Callithrix jacchus: one gene and its partners. The protein of the gene in region 3 interacts with the protein of the main gene of each other region in a pairwise test. Links are inferred from orthologs where the notes say so. Each region holds a gene or a part of one and is shown on either strand. Other genes may lie near its edges.

Evidence for each region.
Region 1: the proteins of SF3A3 (region 3) and ZNF212 interact in binary tests that used the Homo sapiens proteins (3 or more experiments, as listed by UniProt). The two-hybrid records come from large-scale screens. The link is inferred for Callithrix jacchus from reciprocal best matches to the Homo sapiens genes SF3A3 and ZNF212.
Region 2: the proteins of SF3A3 (region 3) and TADA2A interact in binary tests that used the Homo sapiens proteins (3 or more experiments, as listed by UniProt). The two-hybrid records come from large-scale screens. The link is inferred for Callithrix jacchus from reciprocal best matches to the Homo sapiens genes SF3A3 and TADA2A.

What each region holds. Positions count from the first base shown.
Region 1 is NC_133512.1:98,505,973-98,510,311, forward strand, and holds the start of ZNF212 (zinc finger protein 212), read right to left. Parts: upstream 2,827-4,339; 5' UTR 2,824-2,826; coding exon 2,678-2,823; intron 1-2,677.
Region 2 is NC_133506.1:97,709,648-97,713,264, reverse strand, and holds part of TADA2A (transcriptional adapter 2-alpha), read right to left. Parts: intron 2,459-3,617; coding exon 2,348-2,458; intron 487-2,347; coding exon 415-486; intron 1-414. UniProt on the Homo sapiens protein: Component of the ATAC complex, a complex with histone acetyltransferase activity on histones H3 and H4. Required for the function of some acidic activation domains, which activate transcription from a distant site. Binds double-stranded DNA.
Region 3 is NC_133508.1:74,563,413-74,567,713, forward strand, and holds the start of SF3A3 (splicing factor 3A subunit 3), read right to left. Parts: upstream 2,825-4,301; 5' UTR 2,769-2,824; coding exon 2,673-2,768; intron 2,389-2,672; coding exon 2,341-2,388; intron 1,617-2,340; exon of another isoform or gene 95-1,616; coding exon 42-94; intron 1-41. UniProt on the Homo sapiens protein: Component of the 17S U2 SnRNP complex of the spliceosome, a large ribonucleoprotein complex that removes introns from transcribed pre-mRNAs.

The DNA of each region.
Region 1 (4,339 bases), on a different chromosome or scaffold from region 3:
TATTAGACTTTCTCATTCATTCTTCCCTATCTCTTACCTTCTTTTCCATTTTTTGAACTCTGTGCTGCTTTCCGGATAATTTATTTACCTCCACCACCCAGTCGCCTATTTCTCTCTTTGCATGTCTGACATGCTAAGTAAAGCTTACTACTGACTTCTCAATGTTAATTATATTTTCCATTCTTAGATATTCTATTTGATTCTTTTTCAAATATGTTTGGTCATCTTTATAGTCTCTTGGCCTTTATTCACATTTTCCCTCCTTTTTTTAATCTTTAAATATACTAAACATGGTTATTTTATAATCTGTATCCAATAACTCTAATAACTGAAATGTTGAGAGTTGTCCATTACTTATTTTATTTTTACTGAGACAAGAGTCTTGCTCTGTCACCCAGGCTGGAGCATAGTGGCATGATCTTGGCTCACTGCAACATTTGCCTCCTGGGTTCATGAGATTCTCCTGCCTCAGCCTCCTGAGTAGCTGGGATTACAGGCGTGCACTACCACATCCAGCTAATTTTTCTATTTTTAGTAGAGAAGGGGTTTCACCATACTGACCAGGCTCATCTCCTGACCTCAAGTGATCCACTTGCCTAGGCCTCCCTACGTGCTGGAATTACAGGCATGAGCCACTGTGCCCGGCCAGCAATTTTTTATCATGAACTCACATTATCTATGAGAAGCCTGAGTTACTTGTAGATTCCTCCAGAAAAGATTCGTGTTTATTGTGGATACAGAGCTGAGGGCTCTACTTTAACCCTTGGCTTCAGGTTCCTTGAACCATCCAAGTAGCATGAATTCAGTAACAAACCGACATAAGGGTAACTATGAATTCTCAAGGGGCACCTCATAACCATCTCTCACTGCCAAGGTTTAACAGTTTTCTTTGCAATCATCTGAAGGTCAGACCTTAACTTTCAGTTCACCCTTATACAGACTGTTGCCCTTTCCAGTCTCTGCTTCATGGGATTGGGTTAGGGAGCTTCTTAGACTTTCCATCTTAGGCTCTAAAGATTTGTGTATTTTGTAGGTCCCTAGAGTCATAAACACCAAAGATGAATGTTCAGCAACTTTGGCCTCAAAGTTGGCTTCAGAACTCTATCACTTTCGAGTTCCCTCTTTCACTTAGTTTTGGGGTCCAAGTATTCTTTACTAACATACATTTCAAATGCATTTATTTGGGGGGTTTCCAGCATTTTTACTTGTTTTTTCAGGGCACCTACTCGGCCTGTCAAACGAGAGGCACAGAATCCTCACCTGAAGAGACGTCTGAGAATAGAAACAGGCTCAAGAACAATTTAAGTTCTACAATGACAAATTCACATTATTTAAGGCATAGCTGGGGATTGTGATGGACCTTTAAGGCTTCTTCCTAACAAGGTCTACTGATGACATGTAGGTAACTGTGGAGTGACCTGGTAGGAAGAACTGTGGCAGAGTCCTCTTGCCCGACTCTAACATGACCTAGACCTGTGGAAAAGCCAGGTCTTTGACTCGCTCAGCCTAGCTTACAGGAGGCAGATGAAGTAAATATTGTAAACACTTGCGTGTTGTCTTCCCAATTCAACTGTTAACTTCCTTGAAAACAAACACTGTGTTCTCTAAGTCTTCCAATCCTCTTTTTAGTTCTTTACCCACTTGCTACAAGAATCAAATACAGTGCATCCTGGTCATGGCAAAGTTTTCACCACAGACTCTCCTTTGCCCTCCATTCACACAAAGATCTAACACGATTCTTAAAGTGTTTCTAGACCAAGGAACACTTCACTAAAAATCAATTTAGTCCCAGCTGCCCTTTCCGCTGCAAACCCTCTGGTGTGATTAAATTAACCACTACTTTGGAATGGTATGAGAATGTCGGAGCTGGAACCACAGAGATCATCTAGCAACTACTCTAACACTCCCGATTTACAGTTAGGAAAACAAAACAGAGACCCAGAGGCAAACACAGTTGCCTAAAATCACCCAAATGGATAGCTGAGAGCTGAATTACGGCTGAACTCGCTTCGTGACTCCACAGCTAGGATTCTCCCCACGACAAGCTCCGTATCTTGACATTCCCAGAATAGAGAAGGTCGGGAGAAGAGGGAGTGAAGGAGACAGTTTGGACAGGTTTACAAACAAAATGCAGCAACTACACCGTAGGTAACACCCGTCCTCAAAGAGAGGAAGCCCAGGCTGACTTCAACCTGTGGCTTCAACTCCAGGACAGCAATCCGTGGCACCGGAGAAACGGGCAATACATCGGACCAACGAGGAGTGGGCGCAGAGAGGCAAGTCCAGGGGTCTCTGGGGCAGCTGAAGAGCTCACTCGTGGCGACGGAGACCGTTTCCAACCTGCGTCACCGCTCCAACCTGGGAAAGGGCTCTCTCTTGGCACGAAAGAGAAAATGTGTGGCCAGGGTCACAAATCCGACAACATAAAACAAGCTTCGAAGAAGTTTCTGGGGAAAGGCACACGGCGCTGAGGCTCCGACCCCTTCGCAAAAGGAAGCGGAGGGGAAAAAGGGGCAGAATACTGGGGTCGCGGGGAGGAGGGTCCGCGTTCACCGGCGCCAGCGACAGCCGGGGGAAACCAAAGCCCTGGCTGCGTCCAACCCGCGAAGCTCCGCCCCGGGCAGGGGGCTCCGCCTTCCCCAACGCGCCCTCGAGCCCGCGCGCCGGAGCCTCTTACCCGAGCAGGCGCCGACTCCGCCATGGCTCCAGTCGCCCCTCAACACCTGCACCCCGCCTCAGAGTCCCCGGGCTGCGTGCCAGTCCGCTCGGCGCCCCGGAGTCTGCTGGAAACCACCGCCGCCGCCGTGTTGATGCCAGGTGCATTCTGGGAGCGGCGCCCTCCCCAGTGCAAGACCGGCTCCAGCCTCTCTTCCTCACTACGCGGGCTTCCCATTGCGCCCCCGTGCGGCGGGAGGGAGAACCGCCGCTTGGCACGCCCGGCCGGAGTGCGACACCAAGAGGGCTCAGTCACTCAAAAGTCAAGACCGGGTTCCGCGTTTCAGGCAGAGCCACGGGACCCTGCTATCTTCTGTATGCCCAAGACTCTGCTAAATGCTTCGAGGGCTTCAAAAATGTGTAAAATCTAGACTTTTTGCTGAGGAAAGAACATGTAATGTTGTTGGGGAAAAGAAATATGATTCCAAAGGGCAAGTGATTTTATTCCAGAAGTTCACCTGTTATTTGGCTTTTTAGAAACTGGGAGCAGTTTCCATACCAACAATGTGGGGTCAGGCCAACCCTCTGTAGCCTGTTGATTATGGTAATCACGTGCCTTGGAAAGTCCAAGATAACCCTGATTTCAAATATTTCCAGTCCTCACGCTACCTGTAAGACGACGTGTTGGGAATTTTTGTTGGAAACACGGCCACATTACCATTTAATCGTCATGTACTTAGCCACAGCAACCATTCCTGCCTAACTGATACCATTGTCTTTCTGGAGACAAGCAATGAACTTCCACTTCACAAGGTGTGTGAGTGGAAGAGTTCCTTCCTCTGAGAACAAACTCTTAAGACCATGACTGGCTCGTTCCTCACATGCAGGGCTCAGTTCAGATTCTCCATCCTCACAGACGTCCCCAGCCCACCCTTCTGACAGCCCCACACCATCCTCCATCTCATACTCAGTCTCATTACCCTGCAGGAAACGTCATAGCATTTATCACCATCTGAAGTAATCTCATTTTTTCCACTCGTTTACATGTTAATATCTGTATCTCTTCCACTGAAACGTCTCTCTACTGTATCCTCTATTTATTGTACACAGAAGTGTTCATATTTGTAAATGATTGAATGGTGAATCGGAGAGTAAGGATATGAAATGTCATCTCAAAGAGAAGGCATGATTTCCAGGGCAACAAGATCGACAGGCACTTCACTGAATCATTAATAAATCTGGAGACAGAATGGGCCAGCCCGAAGAAACCAATCAGTCAGGGAGATCCTGTCCAGAGGGTCTGACCTACTCTCCAGAACAACAAACACTTGGTGTCAGATACAGAAAAAAAAATGTGTCGTGGGTGAGGTGGCTCATGCCTGTAATCCTAGCACTTTGGGAGGGCGAGGCAGGAGGATCACTGGAGTTTGAGACCAACCTGAGCAACGTAGCCAGCCCCTGTGTCTACAAAATTAAAATTAAAAATAAAACAAGCCAGGAGTAGTGGTGCACACCTGTAGTCTCAGCTACTCAAGAGGTTGAGGTGGAAGGATCGTTTGAACCCAGTAGTTCAAAGCTGCAGTGAGACATGATAGCACCATTGCACTCCAGTCTAGACAACAGACTAAGACCTGTATTTAAAAATAAAATAAAAATGGGCCAGGCGTGGTGGTTCACACCTGTA
Region 2 (3,617 bases), on a different chromosome or scaffold from region 3:
CTGGAAAAGGAAAGCTTGTTTTTTTGTTTTTTTTTTGAGATGGAGTCTCACTCTGTTGCCAGGCTGGAGTGCAATGACAGGGGCTCAGCTCACTGCAACCTCCGCCTCCCAGGTTCAAACGATTCTCCTGCCTCAGCCTCATGAGTAGCTGAGATTACAGGTGCCTGCCACCGTGCCCAGCTAATTGTTGTATTTTTAGTAGAGATGGGAGTTTCACCATATTGGCCAGGCAGGTCTCAAACTCCTGACCTCGTGATCCGCCACCTCAGCCTCCCAGAGTGCTGGGATTACAGGCGTGAGCCACCACAACTGGCCAGAAAGTTTTTTTTTTTTAAATGCACAACTCAGGTACTTCTTCCGTGTGTTAGGAAGAGACTTCCCCTCAGGTACGGTAGGTAGCTGAAGCATACTTACTACAAAAATTGGTAATGCCTGCTGTCCTATATTCTTGGAGCCTCTTGATTTCCCTTCGGAGTTCAAACTCCACTGTTTTACCCAAAAAGAATGAAGGAAAAAAAATTAGAGAAACAAAAGAAACATCAGTGAGCACTTTTGCTATTGAGCATTTTCAGTAATTCTGCCTATTATAAAAGACTAGGCAAGTTCATTTGAAGAATCCTATTGTTGGTAACTTTTCATTAGAAATTTTACCCAAGAGCTGAGGAAAACCTACTCCAGCTGTCTTCCAGCTGCGGTCTCCAGAGGTAGCAGCAGTAACTGTCTTCTAGAAACCTTAGTGAAACGGCTGAATTCGTTTGTCTACAAAAGTAATACATATAATTTTTTTAACAACCAAATTTGCCTGCTCTATCTTCTGTTAAAAGTTCTACCCACATGACCAAGTTCTTTTATGAAATCTGTCTGATATTACTTGATGTGGCCCTGATACAAGGGAAGGACAAGAGCTCTGTGTGCAAGCCCCAGTAAATTTCTTTACAGCTTTTTCCCTATTAGAACATAAGAGCATTGTGTTTTCCATAAACCAAAGATTTTTGCCTCCTCTGAGCACACAGATCAGGTTGTACTCTTTGGGTTATTAAATAATAGAACATTCAAATTTGGCTGCTTAAAAGAATGAAGGAAGAGCCTGGACAATCCATGGAGTGTAGTTATTTGGATTGACACATAAACCAGGGGTGTGTCCCAAACTGGGACAGGAAGTAAAGGATCAGTCACCTGGTACAAGTCACACAAAGAATGCCAACCAACCAAGGTGATTGATGAGGACAACCAACCTGGCTCAGATAAATGTCTGCAATGCTACGTAAGAAATATTTTATGATGAGAATAAGGGCCTTGGTAGAGTACCAGTACATTCTCAGAACTAAACTTAGGGGCAACATGAACAAATGCCATGATGAAAGGTACAGAATAAGCCAGAGTCTATATTAAGAGTCTAGGCCTTACTGCCATAACAACATTTTTTTTTGTTTTTAAACAGGCTCTCGCTCTGTTGCCCAGGCTGGAGTGCAGTGGCGTGATCTCTGCTCACTGCAACCTCCGCTGCCCGGGTTCAAGGGATTCTCCCACCTCGGCCTCCAGAGTAGCTGACACTACAGGTATGCACCACCATGCCAGCTAACTTTGGTATTTTTATAGAGATGGAGTTTTACTGTGTTGCCCAGACTGGTCTCTAACTCCCAGGCTCAAGTGATCCTCCTACCTCAACCTCCCAAAGTGCTGGGATTACAGGTATGAGCCACCACACCCAGCCTTATAACTTTTAATTTTCTTTGTTCGTTTTTTTTCTTTATTTAGTTTTTTATTTTAACAACTTTTAATTTTTTATGGTGAAAAATCAAATGGTAACTGGGTAGTGCTCTCACAGAAATACCACAGAAAGACAAGAGAACGATGGAAGTACTATCTCCACAAGCTATCCATCTCTGTCCTCATTTTTAAAACTACTTTTAGTACTAAGATATTTGTAAACAAAATAAAACGTCTGGGATTTGCTTCAGAATATCCAGTTGAGGGCAGGAGGGAAGGCAGTGGGTGATAAAGATGCAACCAGACTGGCCATGTGTTGAAAACTACTGAAGCTGGATGATGGATACACAGGAATTCATCATATGATTATCTCTACTTTTATATATATTTGAAAATACCCATGATAAAAAGTGGGGAGAAAAACTACTAAATTATTATTTATCTGGGGCGGTGGGGAAAGCCATGAGGGCTTTTTAACCTCTCTTCGCGACTCCCACAGTCCCAAATTTGTCTCATTGTAATAATGGGGAACAAAGACAGAAATATCCATTTATTTACAGAACTTCACATAAAACATCATTCTCTCTCTTACTTATATAAATACACAAATACTGCTCAAGGCTCAAAAACCACCTACATGCATGGCTTTCAATAAATTTGTCATGTTCCACTGGCCCCACAATTCTTGCAAATCGCCTCATTGTTTCATAAAGGTCCTGGACTTCCTTGGGATACCGCCGTTCCATTACTAAAGAGAAAAAAAAAGACATAAATGTGTCATGGGAAATGAAAGGTGACTAACTTACCCATGACAGGAAGCAAACAGGAAAGCCAAGAATACAAAACACTAAAATCATAATGATAATAGCATCACAGCAACTATCCCACAGGGATGTTATCACTGGAGATCATCTCCACCACTGAGCACTACCGATCTCCCATACCACACTTTTTTTTTTTGAGATGAAGTCTCATTCTGTCACCCAGGCGGGAGTGCAGTGGCATGATCTCAGCTCACTGCAACCTCTAATCTCCTGGGTTGAAGCAATTCTCCTGCCCCAGTCTCCCAAGTAGCTGGGCTTCCAGGTGCCCGCCACCACACCCAGCTAATTTTTACATTTTTAGTAGAGACGGGTTCACCACGTTGGCAAGGCTGGTCTCAAACTCTTGACCTCAGGTGATTCACCCGCCTTGGCCTCCCAAAGTGCTGGGATTACAGGCGTGAGCCACCATGCCTGGCCACCTCACTGTCTTTTAAACCACACAGGGGCAGGAAGTGCTGGCAGTAATGGACAAGAAAATTATAGGCAGAGCTTACATGCTTAGGAACAATTATGGCCAAAATTTATGGTATTAACTCCCACAGGAAAACAAGGAAACTATAGACACAAAATCCATCCAGAAGATTTGCCACTGCTGGGAAAAGTGTGATTTCTTGCATGTCCCACCTACACATCCTCAAGCAAGATACATATTTTTTCATTCTTCATATGGGTCATTTTGCCTTTCTCCAAACTGAATTAACTACTGTAACTTAATTTAGTCCTAATGAAGTTATATTTAACAACTGTCATGCAAATATCTTGCAGGGATGCCAGGGCTGCAACTCTGGGGATCACTACTGACGAAACAGCTAATCAAAAGACGTATCTGCAAAGAAGATGGAGAGTAAAACTGACAATAACTGGTAGACTGAGGCAGTCAGGAACTCTACAACCACTACTTGGGTCACTTCAATCTGACAATCAGTAATTAGGTTAGTTCTGTCTACTCTTAAAGATACAGGCTTTCATTTATGTCAGCTATTTTTTTTTTTCCTAGCTTACTTTTTTATTTTTTATTTCTGAGACAGTGTCTTGCTCTGTTGCCCAGGCTGGAGTGCAGTGGCACAATCACAGTTCACTGTA
Region 3 (4,301 bases):
CAGAAACACCAATTCTTAGATTAGCTGTGACTGTCACTTACCCATCCTTATCATCATACAAATCCCTCAGGTTCCCACTGACCTCCATATACCTCTGAAAGGCAAATACAAAACCATCAGAACGACACAATTTGCACAACTGTAGAGCTAAGCAAACAACAAGGGCTCTCCAGTCAAAGCCCAAGGGCAACCTCAAGAGACATGGATATGGTCTTAACAGTTCCTGTACTTCCTAGTACCTTTTAACACACAGCCCTGATTCCAGGTTAGTTTTTTAAATAGGTTGACTGGAAGATTACCAAAATGATATCATTTAAGAGGTGGCTCCTATCTTTACATACCACCAATGCCTAACTCTGTCTGTAACAGATTCATCCTCATTGGCTAAACACAGTTCCCACCTAAAATCCTCAAAGATAATGATATTCACCATTTCAAAAAGCTTGACTGAGGAGCAGGCAGGCTAAATAAACATTACATAGGCTTCCTTTGGAGTCAAAGTATATTAATTCAGGATGGTACAGGTATGTAGTCATGCCTCCAAAACTTTGGGGACCAGGTTTGTTTCAGAATTTGGAATTTTTTAAGTTCAGAAAAGGTATCATATATTATGTAACATCCCTAGTGGAATCTGAAGCACACAGTTCTGCAGTAAACCTTATGCCTTATCTACTAAGTGGGATAAATAAAAGACTATAAAAAGCCTATCCCAGGTTCAGGCCAGGTTTTACTACCAAGTGAGGTCAAGTCAGATTTTGACATCAAATAATCACCCAAGGGAAAAAAAATCCTTAGTTTTCAGAGTATTTTGGGGCTGAGGGCTTGTAATCTGATTCTCTCCTGTAAATCAGAAGATCCAAGTAGGTCTTTTATTCCTTTTTAAACAGGTTTCAAACATACGTTAAGAGTAAGGAAGGTAGCATAACTTCCATTTACTCATCACCCAATTTTTATAATTTATATAACATCTTTTTTTAAAGTAATAAATTGAGCAATTACAAGGCAAATGCAGTTTAGTAGTCCAAAAAACTTTAAAACAGTATCCTGACAGAAAAACACTAATATATGTTTTTTTTTTAAGAGAAGGATTGTAGCTGTGCACTTGTGTCATAGATTCCTCATAACTATTGTTTGCACATCCAAGGGATACGGGATGCTGTAAGAATGTGCACTTGGGCCAGGCGCGGTAGCTCACGCCTATAATCCCAGCACTTTGGGAGGGCGAGGTGGGTGAATCACTAGGTCAAGAGATCGAGACTATCCTGGTCAACATGAGAAACCCCGTCTCTACTAAAAATACAAAACTTAGCTGGGCATGGTGGCGCAGCCTGTAGTCCCAGCTACTCGGGAGGCTGAGGTAGGAGAATTGCTTGAACCCAGGAGGCGGAGGTTGCGGTGAGCCGAGATCACGCCATTGCACTCCAGCCTGGGTAATAACAGTGAAACTCCGTCTCAAAAATATTAAAAAAAAAAAAAAAAAAAAAAAAAAAGAATGTGCACTTGTAGGCAGGGCGCGGTGGCTCATGTCTGTAATCCCAGTACTTTGGGAGGCTGGGGTGGGTGGATCACGAGGTCAGGAGTTCGACATCATCCTGGTCAACATGGTGAAACCCATCCTACAAAAACACAAAAAATTAGCCAGGTGTAGCGGCAGCCGCCTGTAATCCCCCTATTCGGTAGGCTGAGACAGGAGAATCGCTTGAACCCGGAAAGTGGAGGTTGCAGTGAGCCCAGATCACGCCACCGCACTCCAGTCTGGGCAACAAGAGCAAAACTCGGTCTCAAAAAAGAAAAGAAAAGAGCCGGGCGCCGTGGCTCACGCCTTTAATACCAGCACTTTAGGAGGCCGAGGCGGGTGGATCACGAGGTCAAGAGATCGAGACCATCCTGGTCAACAAGGTGAAACCCCGTCTCTACTAAAAATACAAAAATTAGCTGGGGATGGTGGCGCGCACCCGTAGTCCCAGCTACTCGGGAGGCTGAGGCAGGAGAATTGCTTGAACCCAGGAGGCAGAAGTTGCGGTGAGCCGAGATCGTGCCATTGCACTCCAGTATGGGTAACAACAGCGAGACTCCGTCTCAAAAAAAAAAAAAAAAAAAGAAAAGAAACTAAAAGAATGGGCATCTTCCCGAGTAATTAAGAATGCGTAAGAGTTCCCCATTCAGAGAAGTGAGGAAGCACCCTCACGTTCGGCAGCCGGTGGACTGCCCAGACAGAGAGCCCTCGACTGGCCAATCCGGTTACCTTTGGCCAGGGCTCATGCTGAGACAAGCACTTCACTTCCCCTCTCTTTTCCCGCCCTCGCCGACCCAAAAAGAGGCAGACAGCAGCGCACTCACATCTTGCATGGCCCGAGTGCGGTGATCAGAATTGATCTGGTCCCGGAGCTGAAAAAACAAACGGTGACACAAACGCCGTTAGTTTACGTTCCGGAGTAGAAAAGGCCGCCCGAGGGCGGAGCTCACCGGCTCAGGTTTTAGCAGCTGAGGCGGAAAGGCCTTTGGGGCACTGGACTCCGGGAGGAGGTTACCAAGACCGGAGCTCGGAGACGGAGCTCCGGAGGAGACGGGGGCGGAGCGTGGGGAGACTGAGGCCCAAAGCAAGCTCTCAGAGGTCAAACACGGGATAGAGGCCCAGCCTCACACGCAGCCCCTGACCAGACCCAACTTACCGTGGACTTCTTAGTGAGCATCTCTTTGGCCATGACGTCCATGAGCCGTTCTTTCTCCTCATGATAGCGCCGCTGTTGCTCCAGTATCGTCTCCATCTTCCCTTCGCCGCGGACTCTCAATACAGACCACCTACAAGGCGGAAACAACCCGTGCCGCCTTGCGCGCCTGAGTCCCCACGTTGCGCATCCGGCCGCACCAAAGTTCCTCCAGTGCCGGAAGTGTCCAGGGACTTAGGAAAACATGAGCACCACAAGGAGGACGAGTCTATGTTATCGAGATGGCAACAGTGCCACCTGCTGGTCGGAGGTGTGGTGGACGGACGCCAAGAGGTTTGCAGATTCCTCCAGGTGGCATAGGAAAATCCAAGAACTTGAGGTTCAGCGGCGGGCTTCCCGGGGCTTGCGGGTGCCGGCTGGGCGGACAGGTACCCTGTGTGGACTGTGCGAGCAGTTGGAGTCCGGATGGGAGCTGGGAAACCGGAATTTGAGGGCGCAGTTTTCAGCATGAATTATCAGAACGTTTGCTCCTTCTCTGGACCTCAGTGTCTTTCTCAGTGAAATGGGAATAGTGGGGTTTTGCTGGTGGGTTTTTTTTTTTTTTTGAAACGGAGTCTTGCTCTGTCGCCAAGTTGGAGTGCAGCGGCGCGATCTTGGTTCACTGCAACCTCTGCCTCCCGGGTTCAAGCACTTCTCCTGCCTCAGTCTCCCGAGTAGCTGGGACGATAGGCGTGCGCCACCACACCCAGCTAATTTTTTTTGTATTTTAGTAGAGACAGGGTTTCGCTATGTTGGCCAGGATGGTCTCGATCTCCTGACCTTGTGATCCAACCGCCTTGGCCTCCCAAAGTGCTGGGATTACAGGCCGGAGCCACCAATGGTGGTGTTTTAAAAGAAATTCTCAAGTGAGGCCGGGCGCGGTGGTTCACGCCTGTAATCTCAGCACTTTGGGAGGCCAAGGCCAGCGGCTCACTTGCGGTCTGGTCAACATGGTGGAACCCCGTCTCTACTAAAAAAAAAAAAAAAAATTAACCGGGCATGGTGGCAGGTGCCTGTAGTCCCACCTACTTGGTAGACTGAAGCGGGAGAATCGCTTGAACCCAGGAAGCAGAGGTTGCAGTGAGCTGAGATTGTACCACTGCACTCCAGCCTGTGTGACACAGCAAGACTCAGTCTCAAAAAAAAAAAGAAAGAAAGAAAAGAAAAAGAAATTGATGTGTAGAAGGAACCTATCGGTAGAGGATATGTTAAATAAAATACTGTGCATCCAATGAGGTCAGGAGATCAAGACCAGCCTGACTAACACAGTGAAACCACGTCTCTACTAAAAATACAAAAAAATTAGCCGGGCGTGGTGCGTGACTGTAGTCCCAGCTACTCGAGAGGCTGAAGCAGGAGAATCACTTGAACCTGGGAGGTGGAGGTTGCAGTGAGCCGAGATCGCGCCATTGTACTCCCAGCTGGATGACAGAGCGAGACTCTGTCAAAATATGAAATAAATAAAATAAAGTCTGTGCATCCAAGCAGTGGAAGACCTTATGTGAAATGCTATATGGCCTTTAAAAAAAAAAAAAGACTGTGTCTATTTATCTCCACTTGTAGAGAAATGCAAAAAGTCCATGTATTTATATG